Linked DNA regions of Drosophila melanogaster. The protein of the gene in region 1 interacts with the protein of each later gene in a pairwise test. Each region holds a gene or a part of one and is shown in the gene's direction. Other genes may lie near its edges. The genes, in order: bic, gNacalpha, Pka-C3 and CG15136.

Region 1 (4,289 bases):
ATGTGGATACAATTGTCAGTCGTTCTTATCTATAAAAATGAATCAATTCCTTATCGAAGCGCTACTGAGGATGAGTCATTTTAAACAATTTAAATTATATTGTTGTTATACTAAAATTGCTAACATTATAGCAATTATTATATTATGGATAAAAACTGGTAAAATCCTGGCCAGAAAGGGACAACAGACTATTCACTTGTTTCAGATAAGATACGGCCATATAAATAAACATACATAAATAGACAATTACTTTGGCCCTTGCTGATAAAGTAAGTTCCGCTTATTGCTGAGCATACTTAATGTTGTTTACGAATCGGTGGAGAGGCAAAAGAAAAAAACCAAACAAGCCAAAAGCTCTCTCCCATTATTCAGATCTGTCTCTCTCTCTCTATAAATATGTATATCGACTAAATATAATTGTTATTATCACTTCTTAACACGAATAGGATTTTATATACTCTTACACACACTCGCTCACTCATAAAACTCATCTTTTGAGCTAAACTCCGGCTGCTTTGTCTTTCTGAATGACTCATCGGGGAGTTTTTATTTGATTAATGGCTTATAGGCTAATACTTCTACATATATTTTATACAGTTACTCACTGGACAGAACGGCACCTTGGCGTCTGCTGGTGCAGCAATATCCGCAGCAACTCATGATGAGGAAGGTGAGCAGAAAGAACATGAAAATGCCCCAGAAATCCATGGCGAAATCGTCTATATCGTCCAACTCAAAGTCGTCCACTGCGGAAGAAGTTAATGTGTTTAAAAGCTCGTTTCATAGTCGATAAGACGTCGTGAAATACTTACGTTTGACAAGGATTTAGCGGTTATTTCCCTTTGTTAATATCTGTATTTAAAGTCGAAAATTCCACTTGTTGCAGGGAATGCACTGCCTATTTATCGGATTTATCCGCTTTTTGGCAGCACCCGTATAATTCACTTAAATATCAGTGAACTACTCTACCGGAAGGTCGTTATTGAAGCCCGATTGGAATTAACTATATCTTATCAGCGTTAATCTGAAAGTAATACAATTTATCATGATGATAATGGGTGCACGTTATGCAGCACTGACTGCGCTGGCTATGTTTAGTGAGCAGTCGATGTAAAGCGGCGATAGCTAGCGCACTCAACACAGCAATCGATAATTCAAACATAACATCTGATTTAATTGTGTTTAAAACTTTATTGCAAGGTATATAATGGCTCATAATTTTATTTATTTGCGTTCCAAATATTTACTAAATTGAGTTTGTTATACTAAGCTTGTATATTTTGTATAGATATTTTTTAAAACATTACAATTTATCATAATGATGACGTTATGCAGCACTGACTGCTGAGTTTAGTGAGTAGTCGATGCAAGCCAACGATAGCTATCGAACTCAACAAAGCAATCGATACTATTGGAATAGAAAATATAAGAATTAATTAATTCAAACATTACATCTGGTTTAATTGTGTTTAAAACTTTATTGCTGGGTTTATGATGGCTCATAATTATGTTTATTAACATTCCAAATGTTTAGTAAATTGGTTTTTTTTCTTACCACGTTTATTTTTAATTTTATATAGCAAATTTTTAAACATATTTACTTATATATGTGGTTGAAAGCGATGAAAATAAAGTAAATCGATTAAATTGAGATTTATGCCCTGAGTAGATTTACTTTCCCACCATATACTACTAAAAATTTGAATATATTCAAAACTAAAAATTCATTCAAAATTCAGAAAACGTATTACTTCAAAAATAATGTATAAATTATATAAACAATAGAATTTTTAAATTTCTTTGGCGCGCTTTGGTTGCCACCTTGTGAGCTATCGATAGTCAACACTCACGTTTAGTACTTCCTACCAGTACTACTCACATATACATACACCTTTTGCCATTTTTATCATGGCGATTTCTTTTTGACATTTGACTACGACTGGGCGCACGTGTTTTCTGGCAAGGCTCTGTGCTAAATTCTAGTAAAATCAAAGTGAGTAGTGGAAAGTGCGGCATTCGATTGGCGTTTTACTGATGCGACCATTGTGTGTACTCAATTGAACAGATGAACGCGGAAAAGCTGAAGAAGTTGCAGGCGCAGGTGCGCATTGGCGGCAAGGGCACCCCTCGCCGCAAGAAGAAGATCGTCCACTCCACGCCCGCCACCGACGACAAGAAGCTGCAGTCGTCGCTCAAGAAGCTGTCGGTAAACACAATTCCCGGCATCGAGGAGGTGAACATCATCAAGAACGATGGCACCGTCATCCACTTCAACAATCCGAAGGCCCAGGCCTCGCTGCCGACGAACACGTTTGCCATCACGGGTCATGGCGAGAACAAGACGATCACCGAGATGGTGCCCGGCATTCTGACGCAACTGGGTCCCCAGGACATCAACCAGCTGAAGAAGCTGGCCACGGAGATTGCCAGCAAGAGCGGCGCCGGCGGAGCAGCCGGCTCTTCAGCCGCCGATGCCGGTGACGATGATGTGCCCGATCTGGTCGAGAACTTCGAGGAGGTGGCCATCGCCGACACAAAGGAGGAGAAGTCCGGTGAGGTGGCGGCCTCCGCTTAGGCTGGTCCAACCCCGCCCACCCGGGCAAATCACACCACCACACACCGAACACAAAAACATACATACAAAACATACGGGGCCAGGGAGCAAGACGAAGTGGCTGGCATACAGGGCAGAACCCACACACCAGACACGCCGGAAACACATCTACCACTTACCCATTCCGGTTCCAAATCGGAAACGGATCCACTCCGGACTGCAACCAGCGCTTCTGCCCTGAATGGGCCATTCTTCGTGCTCCCTCCAGCCACTTTTTTGGGGGTCATGCTACACACTATACTAAAATACAAAAATAAAGGCATCCGAGTGAGCGCTGAACAGAACACATAAGCATAATAACTATACTTAACATACTAAGGGAACCCTTCAATCTTAATCTAATTGTACTAGTTTGGAACAGTCAAATGTATTTTCCAAAGCGATTAAAGAACGTTTCCTTAACCAAAAAAAACCACAGTCTAAACAACACACACATTCTAATTTTTGCCGCCCTCCCAAGAACAACACACACAGATGTATCTATAGATATATGCGCTGTCATAAAACACTATATACTATATATATACGATACGGTTTTCGGAAGAATTGTGACGAGGTGATTAGGGGAACAACGCAGACACTCCAGATGAATTCATTGCCAGGTCGCGAGGACAGAGAAATATATTTTTAGCACTACTAGCTCTTACCGATTTTCCCCAATTTCCGACTTTTCGATGTAACCCCGCCCTCAAGGAATCCTCAATTGAAAACGAAAACAAGCTGAGGCCACAATTTCGATTCGAGAACAATGTGCCCAAATTGTTGAAAGCATAGCTTATAATTTGTAAACTATTGTTTTAGACCATCATTACCATGCATAACATTAAATGAGCTGTAAAAACCATACGACCCATTCATATTTCCAGCATTTTTTTTTTAGTTTAATGCCTATTTTTTTCTTTGCTTGCATAATCGACATGTGTGTGAGTGTGGGCCTGTGTGTGTATGCATAGCAACGCTCTTGTGTGAGGTTTTCGAGGTGATGGGAAAGGGGTAGTGGGAGGTGTGGCGCAAAGCACGCGGCAGTCGAAAACTTGTTGACATTTGGTATGGTACGTCTAAAATCCAGATGGTCAGAAGGCTCCTTCGGCAGGAACTATGACCCGTACGCAACTTCCAAATTATGTGTCCAAATCCAAAGTTGGGAGTCGTAGCATGCGGTACATGCACATATGTATATATATAAATATGTATATGGTTTTTGGTCGGAAATCTTCGAAATGAGTCACGTTTAAATTGGCTTAAAATTGCGATTAGGCCAGTTCAACCGGAATGTTTCTTGAAGTTTCCACTCATTTGTACATAAACAAGCGATTGCGGCTTCTTATCACATTTCGACGACCTATAACGGATTAAGGTTAATGCAAATGCTAGTATTTTTATCAGTGACGAGGTCAAATAGAGTTAAAAACTCATATTTAATTGTGGCAAATATATTTAATTGATGTTTATTAGGTTTCCAATTGGGTTTTGTTTTGATTTTTTGTCCTGCCAACTTGTTTTATAAACATGCGTGCATAGCTAATACTGCGGATATACATATGTATGTATGTAAGTGTTTTGAATATTTTACAATAGATTGCTGAAATATGTTTTATGGGCTAAAGATTTGGAAGAGCTTATTAGGAATATAATTATTAATTATTAAAATATTCTAAAATCTTGTCACATTTTG
Region 2 (4,448 bases), on another chromosome or scaffold:
AGACTTCGCTTAGCCCTTGGCAGTCGGCAGGGGAAATTGATTTTCCTTGCCGCTCCAGCGACTCCAAATCGTGATGGGCAGGTGGTTGGGGTCTGGAAATGCTGTTGGTTCTGGGTTCTGGATATCGTCTCGGTCATTTGGCGATAAGCGCGTCAGCCTCGCTCAAGGCTGACATATTTTGAAAGAGGATGACGGCAGAGTTTACTTCATTCTGAAGGCACAGCCATACCGCCTGCCAAACGGGATTCCAGCTCATCAACAGCAGCACAAAGATGTGGCATTCCAGATTGGCCCATCGACAAAATAAACGTCAAATTATCAAGCGAACAAGGTACCAAGTGAAATGACCTTGTCAACGCTAAAAACAAATTGGGTTTCTACTTTATTGGGAGTGCAAACAGTATGTCCACAAATTTGCTACGGCATCAGGATGTATAAAAACTTGGTGCTATTCGAAACTAATTTGCAGACTCACTATAAACTCACTAAAACAAACTCCTTTAATAAATAGTTTTCCTAGCAAAGACTGCTGATTCACTTACAACAATAGAATTAAGCCAAATAAGCATCAATCAGCAATGAAATTCATTAGCGGGAAGAGGAGACTCTCGAGCAGGCACAATATGAATGCCTTGGCCAAGATCTCAATTACGGAAACATCTTTGGTTATAACATGTCTACGACATGGTAATATGATTTCAATCATTTCTCGAAACTTGCATGATTAATGCGTTACAGATTTTTGCCCCCAGAAAGCGGCTTCTGTGGGCCTCGTTGCCTTGAAGGAGAGTGAAGACCTCGTCCTGGTGGGCCTCCGAATTGGGTTCATTTTTCATGCACAGGCCGTGGCAGCAGAAACTAAACTTCGAGGCTAAGACTAAGCCCCAATAAGTTGGATGGGCCCAGATGACACCGCAGCATATGGGGCGGATAATTAATCATGGGACGAACGTGCCAGGACGCCCAAAAACTTTTCACCCTTCTCCGGCTCTCCGGGTCTCCGAGTTCCAAGTCCGCGCAGAACTTAACTTAACCGAGCAACATTGAATCGAATCGACCGAGATGTTAAGATGCGAGGACTCATGGCTGGGCAAAGGGAATATCTGATTAGTTGGCCTCTCGAATTTAATTATGGTGACAGGACAGACTCTGCGGCGGCAGCCGGATGCATCCTCGGTCTCCTGCCCTCCACATCCTCCTAGTCCTCCTCCTGCTGCTTCATTCGCCTCTCCTGAATAATTTGTGCAACTCAATTAGGCGTTGACCCCACGATAAAGTTTAATAATTGCAGGTGGTGGACGCCCTTCTTTCGCTCGAACTTTAATTAAAAGAACCGAGCAATTAAAAACGCATCATCAGACAGAGCGCAGCGGCTTGCAGAAAAAATGCAATACATGCTCCCGATTACCACATACCTGTTATGTAGGAAATAGGAAAGGTCAGAATTCATGAAAATTATGCTAAATGTTATGTTAACTCCATTGGGGATTTGATCCATACGTGCTCATATTCTTATTGTACGGTTGTCTCGAATTGTGATGTAATTTCCGTAACACGAAGAGCGCCCTAATAGGGCGTGGCACTTTTTTAATGCACTTAGCAAGTGTTTTTTCGCCACACGCAGAACGCAAAACAGGATCACACAGCCCCGCCCTGAACCGCCTGATCTGGGAAATTCGGGAGCCGGAAAACCGCAAGGAAAACCGCACGTGTAACCGCGCTTGCTCCACCGCGTCGTGTTTGTGGGGCTGCTCCGCTTTGGAGGCAGACTGCGGTGCGACCACGACAGCAATTAACACGGAGGAACCAGCTTCAGATTCAGGTCTTTGGCATTTTCCGGGCATCCGAGTTTTACGACTTTGCATATTCGAATATTACCCAAATAACCGCTGAACTTTTCATTTCTCCACCACTTTTAAACTGGCTTTGTCAGGTGAAAATTTTCAAGCACGTCACTGCAGTGGATTGATTTGCAATCATCAATTTCGATAGAATTTGCGAGGCGCTGCAGCAAAACTTTTATAACCGCGAAATTAAGTGCACAGTTCGAAGGCAGCTGACATTCTCGTTTGAAAAATACCAACTTTCTTCAGAGCAGCGCTGCTAACGCCTATAATCAGTTCACGATTGCACTGGGACCTATCGATATCGATAGACTTAGGCGTGCTCTGCATGTTCGAATGGCCGAGTGGCCATTTTAAAAACTTATAATCTTTCCGAAAGCAACACTTGATATTGTTTATTTCGCTATTTAGGTGCCATTAGCATAAAAAATTTCCAGTTTTCATTATGAAAAAACTTTTCGATAAGTATACCAAATTTCGCAACAGCACTTATCGAAGAGAGCAACACCAGCTGTCAAGCCACTGGAAGTTTCACCTCTGATATTTCCTGTCAAGTCTTTCCCGCAAGAGGTCACACCACGTGCGCTGCCAATTTGGAAATTTTTTTGGAGAAGTTGTCCTCGCAAATCTGTGATCGCAAATCCCTCAGTTGCTGTTTATTCCTCAAGATGGGTAAGAAGCAGAAAATGAAGAAGGCTGCCCAGATGGCGACCGCTGCCGAGAAATTGAAGACCGCTGCCGAGAAATCGAAGACCGCTGCCGACAACGTGGTGGCCAAAGAAAAGCCTGCCGAAGAAGCCTCTCCCTCACCAAGTGGCAGTGGAAAAAAAGGGAAGCCCAAGGCAACGCAAAAACCAAACGTCGCAAAGGCACTTCAGAAGGAGATCTCCAGTTCGGAAGACGCCTTGGATGTCAAGAATAAACCTCCGGCAGGCTTTAGTGGCGCAAAGGGGAAGCCCCACATCATGGGTCAAATGGACCCGGCCTACCGCAACAAGATCAAGAAGCTGATGAGCCTGGCCAAACAGCTGCCGCCCAATGTGTTCAGTCTGCCGAACTCGCAGAAGGAGGAGGGCGCCTCCGCCGCGAAATCCTGCGTAGTTGAGGATGATCAGAGCACGGACTCCGATGACGCCCCGGATCTCGTGGAAGCGGATCCCAAGGAGACCCAACCGGACGAGCAGGGTCAACTCGGTACGGTGGCCGTGCGAACACGTGAGGTATCAAAGCAGTCTCGCGGCGAGCGGAAGGCACGCCGGATCCTCATGAAGCTGGACCTGAAGCCCATGGAGAACGTGGCCCGAGTGACCATGAAGAAGGGCAAGAACATCCTCTTGTACATCGATCAGCCGGACGTCTACAGAGTGGCGCACTCGTCGACGTACATCTTCTTTGGGGAGATCTGCGTGGAGGACACTAGCACCACGTCCGTCGCCTCCCAGGCAGCTGTCAAGGCGGCCGAGCGATTCCGTGGAACCTCGCCTGCCGGGCGGCAAGGTAACGAGGATGGAAAAGCCCCTGGCGAGGAGTCCCCACACGACGACGACGACGACGAGAACGATGGCGAGGACGCGGATGCCATGGGCCTACATGCGAAGGACATCGAACTGGTACAGATGCAGGCCGCGTGCTCGCGCAAAAAGGCGATCCAGGCGCTGCTGAAGAACGACAACGATGTGGTCAATGCCATCATGGCCCTGACTGTGGGTTAAGTCGCTCTGAGTGGCTCCTTTGTATTCAAAGTCATGAAATAAAGAGAATTTCAATAACATCCATGTTCGCCATAGAAATTAATGGTAATTAAATGATTACAATCAAATCGTAAACTTTCATGTTGTTTTTATTTACTATACTTTCATGTAATCCAGACAATCCTTTCGGACTTCACTTCTCCTGGTGGATGGCTTGTTCTACAAGAATGACAATCTCCGGTGCCAATGTAGCTCGTACTATATTAAATGCCGATCATTTCCTGGTTTTTGAAAATGTTTTCGGTCCCAGCAGAAGAATCCCACTGAAGAACCCCTTTGTACAGCGAAATTGCCATCTTATTTCAATTTTCTAATGAATTGACATTTCCACCATTTCCATCTTGGCACAGTGAAAGCATTTTCCGAAGGGCGAAGAACGCATATGCGAACCCGAACCATTTTCATTATACTCGTATTTGCTCTTCCATCAGCGCTAGACTTTGGCAATTTTCCTTTCAGGTACCGTCATTCTTGGACATTTTCTCTGTGGCGGAAACTTAATCGCTTCTTTCTTTGTGCCGCTGACGCTGCACTCTTGTTTACTCTGCACTTAGTTTTTAGCCATTTGGCGAAGTCCCCCGGCACTCGACTTTGCATTTTTTGCTGGCGAATTTTTGACGACGCCGTGATTGCGTTTCAGCTCTTTCAGGGGATTTCAGGGGTACTCCCAGGTGAGACAGGTGACGTCGCTGCTGGTGACGTGGCTACGCAAGTCCTGCTCCGCGGACATTTGACTCAATTAAATGGCTCGACTACGTTCAACGTCCCTTTTCTGGCCCCAAAAGCCACTTAATGACTAGCTCCGGCTCTAACTGAACTTTTTTTAATTTTCAGCTGTCGTCAGCAGCCGTAA
Region 3 (5,363 bases), on another chromosome or scaffold:
TTTAAAGCATATGTATGATTCGCGGTGTGCGTTCTTTGCAAACAAAACAAACCTGCAGCGGATCCTCAAGCACTCCGGAGCAGATGGGACAGGTGAGCTCCTCGTCCACCTCCCCCTGAAAGCGATTCACATCGTAGCCCATCTTAGGTCCTCAGCACGCTGGCCATCCGCATAAAAATACTATTAATAATTCTTTTCTGCGGATTGCAAAATCTGTGTGTTTTTTTTTCGGTTCAGTCAGTGCAGTGTTGTGTAGTGTGACTGAGTAGTGTTGGAAAGCTAGGATGGCACTTCAGCTGTAATCCGCGAGAAATGGCTTCTTAAAATAACTGTTTAGCTTGAAAATATTGAGATATTTTCTGTTCCACCTTAGTTTTAAACTTAAGTTTGACTTAAAGTCAAAATTTTTGATATAATAGAATTCTTGTTTGATCTCCATTCATTTATTTGTACTATTAAATTAGCTTTGGCCAGGCAGCTTAACAAATTAAATACGTCATCGTCCTGGTTAAAATATGTTTACACACTTGTCGATCATATGATTAATAAATAATATACATATCCTGCCCAAAGGACCACGTCAGCATAAGCCACCGGTGATTAATCAGCGCACAGTTGATTTAAAAATATAGCATCTTTATAATAGGTAAAAATATCAATGTATTTAACAGTCTGGACCGTTGGCATGCCACTATTTGGTATACAATAATGAAATTCGTCAAAAAGGGAGTCCAATGGACATGGCTACCCAATTCATAGACTAACACAACACATAAAACATTTAACGCTTAATCCGATACCCCCAGGTCCCCGCACCCTCGTAGCCAGTGATCCTGTACTATATCTCGTTGCGATCCTTCCAGCCATATTTCTGGCGCTGCTGCTTCTCCCTACTATTGCTATTACCCTGCCTATTGCCATTGTAGGAGGAGCTCTTCGGCGGGGCGCAATAGCAGGATCTCTGCTGGGAGTCCAGATAGGAGCGGCATCCCAGGGTCAATGTGCCGGTGAATAGCATCTTGGCAGCCGCCTTGCAGCCCTTCATCATCAGATCGCTGGCTATGGACTTCTCGTAGCTGTCGCAGTACTTGTACAAGCACCTCTTGAAGTCCAGGTCGCACAGCTCCTTATCGCTATTGCAGGTGTCGTAGCAGATATCGTGGTCATTGCAACATGTCTCCATCTCCTTGGCCGGCAGATAGTCTGTGCTGATCCTCAGGCCCAAGGAACCACATCCATCTGCGGTGGGGGTATAGAACTTATTCTGAACCGCTCTGGGCGCTGTAAGATAAACACACATATGGATGCTGGGGAATTTACATAATGCGCAGTGCGTCACCACACCTGGTCCTCCGATATCCGGTGCGGGGCACTGGTATATGCAGTTCTCGTCCACGGCCGCATCGAAAACCTCGTGGACCGTGCGAAATTTGCGCACCAGCACTATCAGGTTCTTGAACACGTCACCAAAGATCGCCTCCGCGGCTATAATGGCATCCCTTAGCTAAATCCGGGGAGAGAAGATACAGGAGTAACAGATACTAGCTCTCACAGATTTCCTACGAGAAGCGGTGCACCTTACGTGGACTATGGTGCTGGATCCATAGCCTGAATAGGCGTAGGTTAGGAACGTAAGAAGGTATATGGCCACCTTCATCCAAGAGAACTGCATGTTCGCTGTTTAATTCGTTTTTGAAGGGTCAGCTATTTGTTGTTTGCGCGTAATAATAAACTAAACTATGCGAAAGACATTTGTAGCAGTGTGACCAGGCGTCATCGTTCAAATATACCAACCGGCTCGGAAATCATACCAAACTGCATATGAGGTTGCATACTTTTAGGCACTGTCCTGACATTTCAAAAAATCCTAATGGGAAATTTAAAACCGTTTTTAAATATTATAAATAAAATACGTTATGATTTATAAAACAAAAAAATTTATGAAAAATAAAATCTTGTTGGCTTTGCAGAGAGTATTACAATTAATGCTATACATTAATAAAAGTAAATTGAATTTCAGAACACTGGCGCCATCTGGTACAGACAACTCAAAACATTTAACTGACAATACATATACATCGATATTTCGAGGGGGGAAAATTCAAAAAATTGGGAATAAACAAAATTTTCCTTAAATGGATTTGTGGCATATATTTTTGGAACGTATTTTAGTGGCTTGCAGAGTCAGCGCAAGTGTCTTCGCAAATTTCGGCTGCGGTTTGTATTCCAGCTGGAAGCTAAGTGAGTTGTTTCCCACAATTATACTTAGTGCGGCAAGGATACTAACATTTTTATGCCTTACAGTCTGCGGCGACCATGACTCGGCTTCCGGTCTGCGGGCAGGACTTGCCACGCCCACTCAAAGAGGTGAGTGCATGCAGTGTCCTTGCACTTGACAAACAGGACTGAAGCAGCCTCAAAACGAAATAGTGAAATAGGGAAAAAAAAGTCGCGCACAGAAAACGTAAACGCAAAGCTTGCTGACATCTCGTGCCTGCCTTCGCTTAATTATAACATCAAATTGAAATGCACACGGCAATTGTATGCGGCACCTGAAATGAGACTGTGGCACGCAGGCGTCACTCGTACTCGCATTTCGTTTGCACCTGACCTTGTTGGCCTTTATTACAACGGCCAGCGAAATCAACGTGCATAAACATGCGAACGCAACACCCGAAAACCGTTAAAGAGGCGCGCTCGCTGTTTGCTTAAAACCGAAACAGAGGGCTCGTAAATACACAAAACATATTTTCTAGATTTTCTCAGCAACGAATCGGCGCTGCCGCAAAGTCTACTGAAAACAAACAAGACACTGAGGAAAAACACCCCCACCATAAAAACACACATAAACCTTTTGATTTAAAACGACTTCTGGCTTGAATCGTAGGGTTAACTTATGTACAATATGTACATCATGTATGTATTTCATATCTGAATTACATCCTGTATGCATTATTTTCCATCTCTACTATAATAACCAAAAGTCTTAATATTTGTTGAAATAACACAAACATAAATAGGTATAAGTGTTTCTTGGAATATTTAAAAATTCACTGCTGACGAAAAGTCTGCTGGTACTCCTACACTTGGGAAAATCCCACATTTATTACAATTTTCCGACTTTTCGCAGGCAATGTGTCTGTTAAAGCAGTTAAAGAAAAACCAATCCAAAAACTACCCAACATTAGGATTATATTTATTTAATAATCAGGTAAAATCGTAAGATAAAAACGTCTATAAAATCTATTATTAAACGTTGTTAAAAGATAAAAAGATATTTCATAAGAAATATAATTTTGCATTTTCTTATTTATGATAGTAATGAAAGTTGTTATTACACAAAAAAAATATGATAAGAACAGTTAAAATATGTAAATTATTGTCTTCGCAGCGACAAAATATCTACTTTTTTGTCAATGTATGTATCTTCTAGATTAATTATTATATATATATGTATGTATGTAGATTTTGGTCGCTGCAAAGACTTTCAGTTCCGTGATGGTGTTGTCAATTAGGGCGCACACCATGCTGGCCGCCTTATCGCCATCGGTGATTCCGGACCGCCTCCGCCATCCTGATGGCGATGATCCTGTTGCCGCCAAAGCGTTTAGGCCCTCAAATGGAACGGCACTCGGGACACTTGGCCAAAACCAAATATCTGCACACATGGAGAGCAAACACAAACACATCCGACTATCAAGCGAGCATCCCGAAGCCATCTCTCCCTCTCCCCTTGGCTGCCAGCAGAAGCATCATTATTACCATCGTCATCATTGCCCACTGCCCCGCCCCTCCCGACCAGGCCGCCCCCTTTTCCGAACCACCACGACTGTGCTGCCAACTGCGACGCTGACGTCGACGTCGAGAGCTGTGGCAAGCGATTCGCAGATTTTACGTTTCAGTTTCGTGCAAAACGTGGAAGCGGCTGGTCAACCCAAGAAAAACACCACAGAACACTCAGAAATCATTCGAAAGAAAATTGGAAAATTTGACATTGGTCTTCAGACTAGTCAACAAAAAAAAAAACAAAACCTATTCAAAGTTTGCAATCATCACGTTTGATTAATTGCGCTCAGTTGGACTAATTTGGCAATCTGCTGGTTCAGCGGAGGAAACTAACAAAAAACCGAAGAAAAACTGCAAGTTGCGCTGTAAAAACCGGAAATTCTAGATCTCTCGGATCTCACGATCCCAGCGTATATAAACAAAACAAAGCGGCACCTTTAGACACACAACAACAACTAAAAGAAACCGAAGAAAAACCCACGAAAAAAGTGACACAAATAAAGCAAATCGCGATCGCTGTGTCCAGTCGATCCGCAAAAAATAATACCTATGGCCCCCGTATACCTATAACACCCATAATACCTATACCTATACCCCCTCCCGCCGAGAAACGCTGAGTGTTGAGTTTATTTCTGTTTCTGTGTCGGCTTCAGCGGTTTTTTCGCCTTTTTTTCTGTTATTATTGCCGGCCAGAAGCGAAGGAAAAATCGAAATCGACGGCTAGTCGCGGAAAATCGTGCGCTCTTAAAGTAACATATTTATTTTTAACAATTTCGCAAGCGTTCAAATTTTGCTCCAGCAAAAAATCAGAATCAGAACTCACCAACCAACCAGACAATCGCAACCTGAACAACAACAATAAATATAGATCGGCTGTGGGATCGTTAAGTAGGAAAAAAAGAAAAACAAAAACCAAAAGGCTAAAAAAACCAAAAACCAAAACAAAAACCAAACCAAAAGGCAACGACGACGGCCGGCAAATTTGGATCTCAAAATTTAGCTCGGTGAGTAATCGTGGGTAGTGTAAAAAGTGGAAGCCAGCAGCCAGCAACAAATCATAAATGCTTGCTTTCCAAAATAGAAACAAAATGTGGAGATAAATTCGTTTGATGATTAAGCTTTGAGTACTATAATTAGGCGAGCCGATTTAATTAGTACAATTAGCAAATTACACCTCACATGGCGGGCTAAATCTTGATATTTGGAGTGGAAGTGGAAGTTGGAAAGTGTGGGTTTTTTAGATACTTTGAGATCTTGCTAATGCAGTCATTAAGTTCGTTAGATTCGTAGATTAATGCGTCTTTAAACATTTAAATAGAGGTGGAAGATCTAACTCGTCATAATGTTAAAATAAATATGATAAATATAAATAAGAATAAAATGCTAAAATGTCTGATTTAATGGTATATATCCCATATATCCCACATATATATAAATTAAAAAAGGCGTGTAAAATATTTTGAATTTTCTTGAACATTTCAAAGTTCAGAAAGCGTGATAAATTATTAGATTCTTCACTGACAAATGGTAAATATATAAAAAATTCCAAAAATGTATGATTTACTTATGCTTAATAA
Region 4 (3,984 bases), on another chromosome or scaffold:
CAATATTTCATTTCTAATAGTACGTTCAATTCGTTTAAATGTTAGTTTCCAAGAAATTGTTCACACAGAAGAAAAGCTATTTGCAGTATAATTGGTATAAAAACGAATTTCTATTTCATAATTGAGCTCAAGACACTTACAGCCTAATGAAATTTATTTATGCAATTTAACAAATAAAAAAATAACCCCTTTTGGCCTTCCTAATCAAGTTTGTCAACGATTTAACGCACATCAATTAAAGCCGCTCAAAGATGGAACGCTTAATGATGGCCTTTGTTTTCATCACTCTCCATGGCCAGTCATTCGACCAGTCAGTTAGTCAGTCAGTTTGTCTATCTGCTGTCCCTTTATATATATTATTGCGGATATGTATGTCTGTCCCTGTGGGGCTTCCCGGCAGTGCTGCTGATTTTATACATTCAAATTAGTTCGCTTTGCACGAGTGGCCCTCGAATGAGAGAGAGTACTGCTGTGATATTTCCCGACCACGGCTGACTGGCCAGGCAACCAAGCAACCCGTCGGAACACGGCACAACCGCTCCAATGCCACTACAGCATACATACATACACAAAGATATATGTATATACATATATATATGGAGGGGGTCCGGATTGGGGGGCTATCAAGTTGCCTGTGAAGTGCTTATCCTCAAATCAGTGACACTTGAATGTGCAGCCCATGTGACTGACCAAGTGGGTGACTGACTGACTGCTGAGCGACCAGAGCTGTCATCTTGGCTACTTTCCCTTCACAAATAATATAATGTAATATAATACAATTTAATATTATTCGTTTTTATATTAACGGTTTATATCTGAGGCATATTCTGACATGACTTCTTCATTCAAAGCTGAATAAAAGATATGATACGTTACTCCTTCAAGGGAAATACGCCAACACTGAGCAGCAACTTTACAAAAGTGCGAAGACTTCGTTTCATCTATTTACTTTGCCCTTCGACCACCGCTTGCCATTTGAATCTGAAACTGTCCAACAATTTGAGTGTTGTTTGTGTCCCTGATTGAGTAGCTAAATAAACTTTGGCCTTTTATTTAATTTAACGGATTTATGACTGTCGAAGATAATTGTCAAATGGCTTAATAGTGTTATTGAAACAGGAAGAACTACATGGTATTTTTTTACACAAAATGTATAGAATAAGAAGTCAAAAAAAAAAAAAACATCCCTTCAGAAACTAACAAATTAGTCGGACTAAACCTATAAGCTGAAAAACCTTGTCTATTCCACAAAATGGCCAATAAATTAGCGCAAGTAATTTGCGCAATTAACTAAAAACAGTTAAAACCGCTATTTGTTCGGTTAGCGAAATCGCTCGATACAGCAGCGCGAATGCAATGAATTGGCAATAAATTCTCGGTTCTCGGTTGAAACTTTCTCTAACCCCTTTCTCTTTATTTTATTCGATTGTGTGGGTGTGTCGGCAGAGTCAACTAATTTATGTTTTAACACACTCGCACATGCAAATTAGCACACACACAAAATGAATGCAAATATTGGGTTCCAAGGGGGCTGAAGCTGCCATAATGAGCTCAAGTTGGGCAAATGGCTGAATGGGTGAATGGGTCTGAGGTTTTCAGGCGTTCTTTGCGGTTCATCTGGCAACAACTGTTGACAAAATGAAATCAATAAATTTTAGCGCAAATCAATTAAAATACACCAGCCAGATTGAATTAGAGTGCTGGGTGCTTTTGGTCTTCTTCTTGTTGGCCAAACGAAAATATTTGTCAATTTGCGGTATTCACAAAATTAAATTTGACACACACGCACCAGCAAGATGGAATGTCAGGATGAGTTTTAGGCAATTTTATCTCACTTTGTGTGAAATTTGTTATAATTTATTTATACGGCTTATTAAAATTATTGTAAGTTCGGCCATTTAATTAAAAGTCAAACTTTATTTGCAACGAGAAAAGCGGAGCAAACATGACAGTTGAAAGTGGAATCAAATTTATGAAATCGAATTATGGCATGCATGGATTTGAAGCAGTTTTCGGGTTAAGCCCCAATAAGATGGATAAACCCATAAATCCTCAAAATAACAATCTAACAGAAATTGAATGGAGGTAAATAACCTTTGACATTTCAAAGAAATTACAAGGAATCGGGACAAAGGAGCATGGTTAACTTACTTTTTTTGAAATAGTTTTCTATTTAATTGAGTTGTACGTTCTGCAATCATAAATTGTGTATGTAAATAATAGTGTAGCTTTAATCGTAGTTGACTTTTCATTACTTATCCAATTAAATTTCAAAGGCCAAGCATTAAAAATAGTAGGAACACAAATTACTTCGTGAAGACAAACGTTGAGAGATAAACACCCTCATAGCAAAAATCGGCCAATACCAAAGTTTTGGCAAAATATTTTGGAAGCGGCTGTCTTTGGTCATTCATTAATATTTGGCACTGAATACCGGTAAGAAAATCAAATAATCAGGTAGTTTGCCCTGCCATAATTGTCAACTGAGCATTTAAGCAGAATAGAAAAGCTACTTGAAATCGTCCGGCCGGAACTCAAATGTAGATTTGAAAAACTATTCAAGTGTTAAGTGCTCTGCTGACCATGTTGAAGGACACCGCCACCGCATCGACCAGCGAACTTGCAGGGGAAGTGGGTGACGCCCATTCGACTCCTGGCAGCTGCCCTCCGCCCGCCGCGGGCGACACGCCCCCCGTCGTTAGCCGACCGCTGGACCGACGCCTAAACCCCAACGCACCTGTGTTTGTGCCCGACTTCAAGGCCAGCCAGGTGGCCAAAAAGCTATTTGATGAGTGTAAGTACGGAAAGGAAATAATGTTTATTTAAAACAATATATATTGTATTTTGAAGCCCTTTATATATATTATGCTTTGACTTGCATAGGTTTTTAGTATTGTGCATTTATTTATTTCTTTTTAATTTCCTGATGGATTTATAAATTTAATACCCATGCAGTATCTACGTACACCCGGTGGAGTACGGCAACCTCGGAGGACATATGCTACGAGCCCCGTTACGAGTCCATCTGGCGTGAGGCCAGCATCCAGCAGCAGCAGGGTCTGCGCCATCCGGGTTTCGTTTACAGCCTGGATCCTGGCGAGGAGGAGGTTGGCGAACTGGAGTTTGACGAAGTCCAGGCCATGAATATCGGAGCCGAGTCCTATGATCCCAAGCTAGGAAGCACATCAGTTAGCCAGGCAATGGAAGTTCGCGAAACTGTGGGTGATGTGGAGGAACCTTTAGATGAGGAAAAAAGGAATGGCTTTCAGAATCGCCACTCCGCCAGACCGGCCAAAAAGTGCTGTCTGGTCATGTAGGTCCCACGGAATGGCAAATTTATATATTTATTTTCCATTTGTTTTCACACCTACATGCAACTCAGTAAATTGCTTCCTTACTCTCTCAATTTGTGTATTTTTTTCCTATACCATAGGTGCTTATAAGGGATTTCCCTTTTAGTAAGTAATTACATTTTTTCTGAATTTAATACGCTTCCAGCGCGAAGAATTAAATTCTACAGGTATTTTCCAACGTCGTTGCAATTAAGACGCTTTTCAGAACTTTCTAAATGCACTCCTTTCAAGCCCACTTACGGCAGACTGGAAGAAAGGAAGCTCCGTGGAGAAAGGTCGACTATACCTATGACATAATTTATAGCCTACATTTTAGCGCCCTAAACGGGTTTGTTTTACTTTCCACGAAGGCTCTTGCCTTTCTGCCTTCAGCTACTTTGTCCTGACTTTCTAATGATGTTGAATATGCATGAAAACTTTTGCCGCACGCAGAATTCTCCTCGCTGGATGGCAGCTGAAAGCTTGATTCACCTGTCTATGGGTAGCATGGCAGCAGGACTGCCTTCAGATTTAACTACCACTGAAAATAGTACGGGCTTAAATAACTAATTTTTAAACTCAATAAAATAACATGTGGAATTTAAAAAACACCTTCACTTTCAAATACGAGTGGCTATGCAAATTAAATTTT

The links.
Region 2: the proteins of bic (region 1) and gNacalpha interact in a two-hybrid assay, tested with the Drosophila melanogaster proteins (one large-scale study listed by BioGRID).
Region 3: the proteins of bic (region 1) and Pka-C3 interact in a two-hybrid assay, tested with the Drosophila melanogaster proteins (one large-scale study listed by BioGRID).
Region 4: the proteins of bic (region 1) and CG15136 interact in a two-hybrid assay, tested with the Drosophila melanogaster proteins (one large-scale study listed by BioGRID).

The regions. Positions count from the first base shown.
Region 1 is NT_033778.4:12,868,338-12,872,626, forward strand, and holds bic (bicaudal), read left to right. Parts: upstream 1-1,911; 5' UTR 1,912-1,993; exon of another isoform or gene 1,994-2,065; coding exon 2,066-2,575; 3' UTR 2,576-3,457; downstream 3,458-4,289.
Region 2 is NT_033779.5:1,034,867-1,039,314, forward strand, and holds gNacalpha (germinal nascent polypeptide-associated complex alpha subunit), read left to right. Parts: upstream 1-2,379; 5' UTR 2,380-2,512; coding exon 2,513-3,556; 3' UTR 3,557-3,640; exon of another isoform or gene 3,641-3,667; intron 3,668-3,712; 3' UTR 3,713-3,819; downstream 3,820-4,448.
Region 3 is NT_037436.4:15,951,529-15,956,891, reverse strand, and holds the start of Pka-C3 (protein kinase, cAMP-dependent, catalytic subunit 3), read left to right. Parts: upstream 1-2,094; 5' UTR 2,095-2,135; coding exon 2,136-2,241; intron 2,242-2,304; coding exon 2,305-2,367; intron 2,368-3,898; exon of another isoform or gene 3,899-4,790; intron 4,791-5,363. Other genes in the region: elgi (early girl), read right to left, coding at 53-142; GXIVsPLA2, read right to left, coding at 839-1,281, 1,345-1,504, 1,583-1,672. UniProt on the Drosophila melanogaster protein: Does not have an essential role in development.
Region 4 is NT_033779.5:17,046,581-17,050,564, reverse strand, and holds CG15136 (uncharacterized protein), read left to right. Parts: upstream 1-2,283; 5' UTR 2,284-2,436; intron 2,437-2,496; exon of another isoform or gene 2,497-2,499; 5' UTR 2,500-2,583; coding exon 2,584-2,794; intron 2,795-2,955; coding exon 2,956-3,317; 3' UTR 3,318-3,404; downstream 3,405-3,984.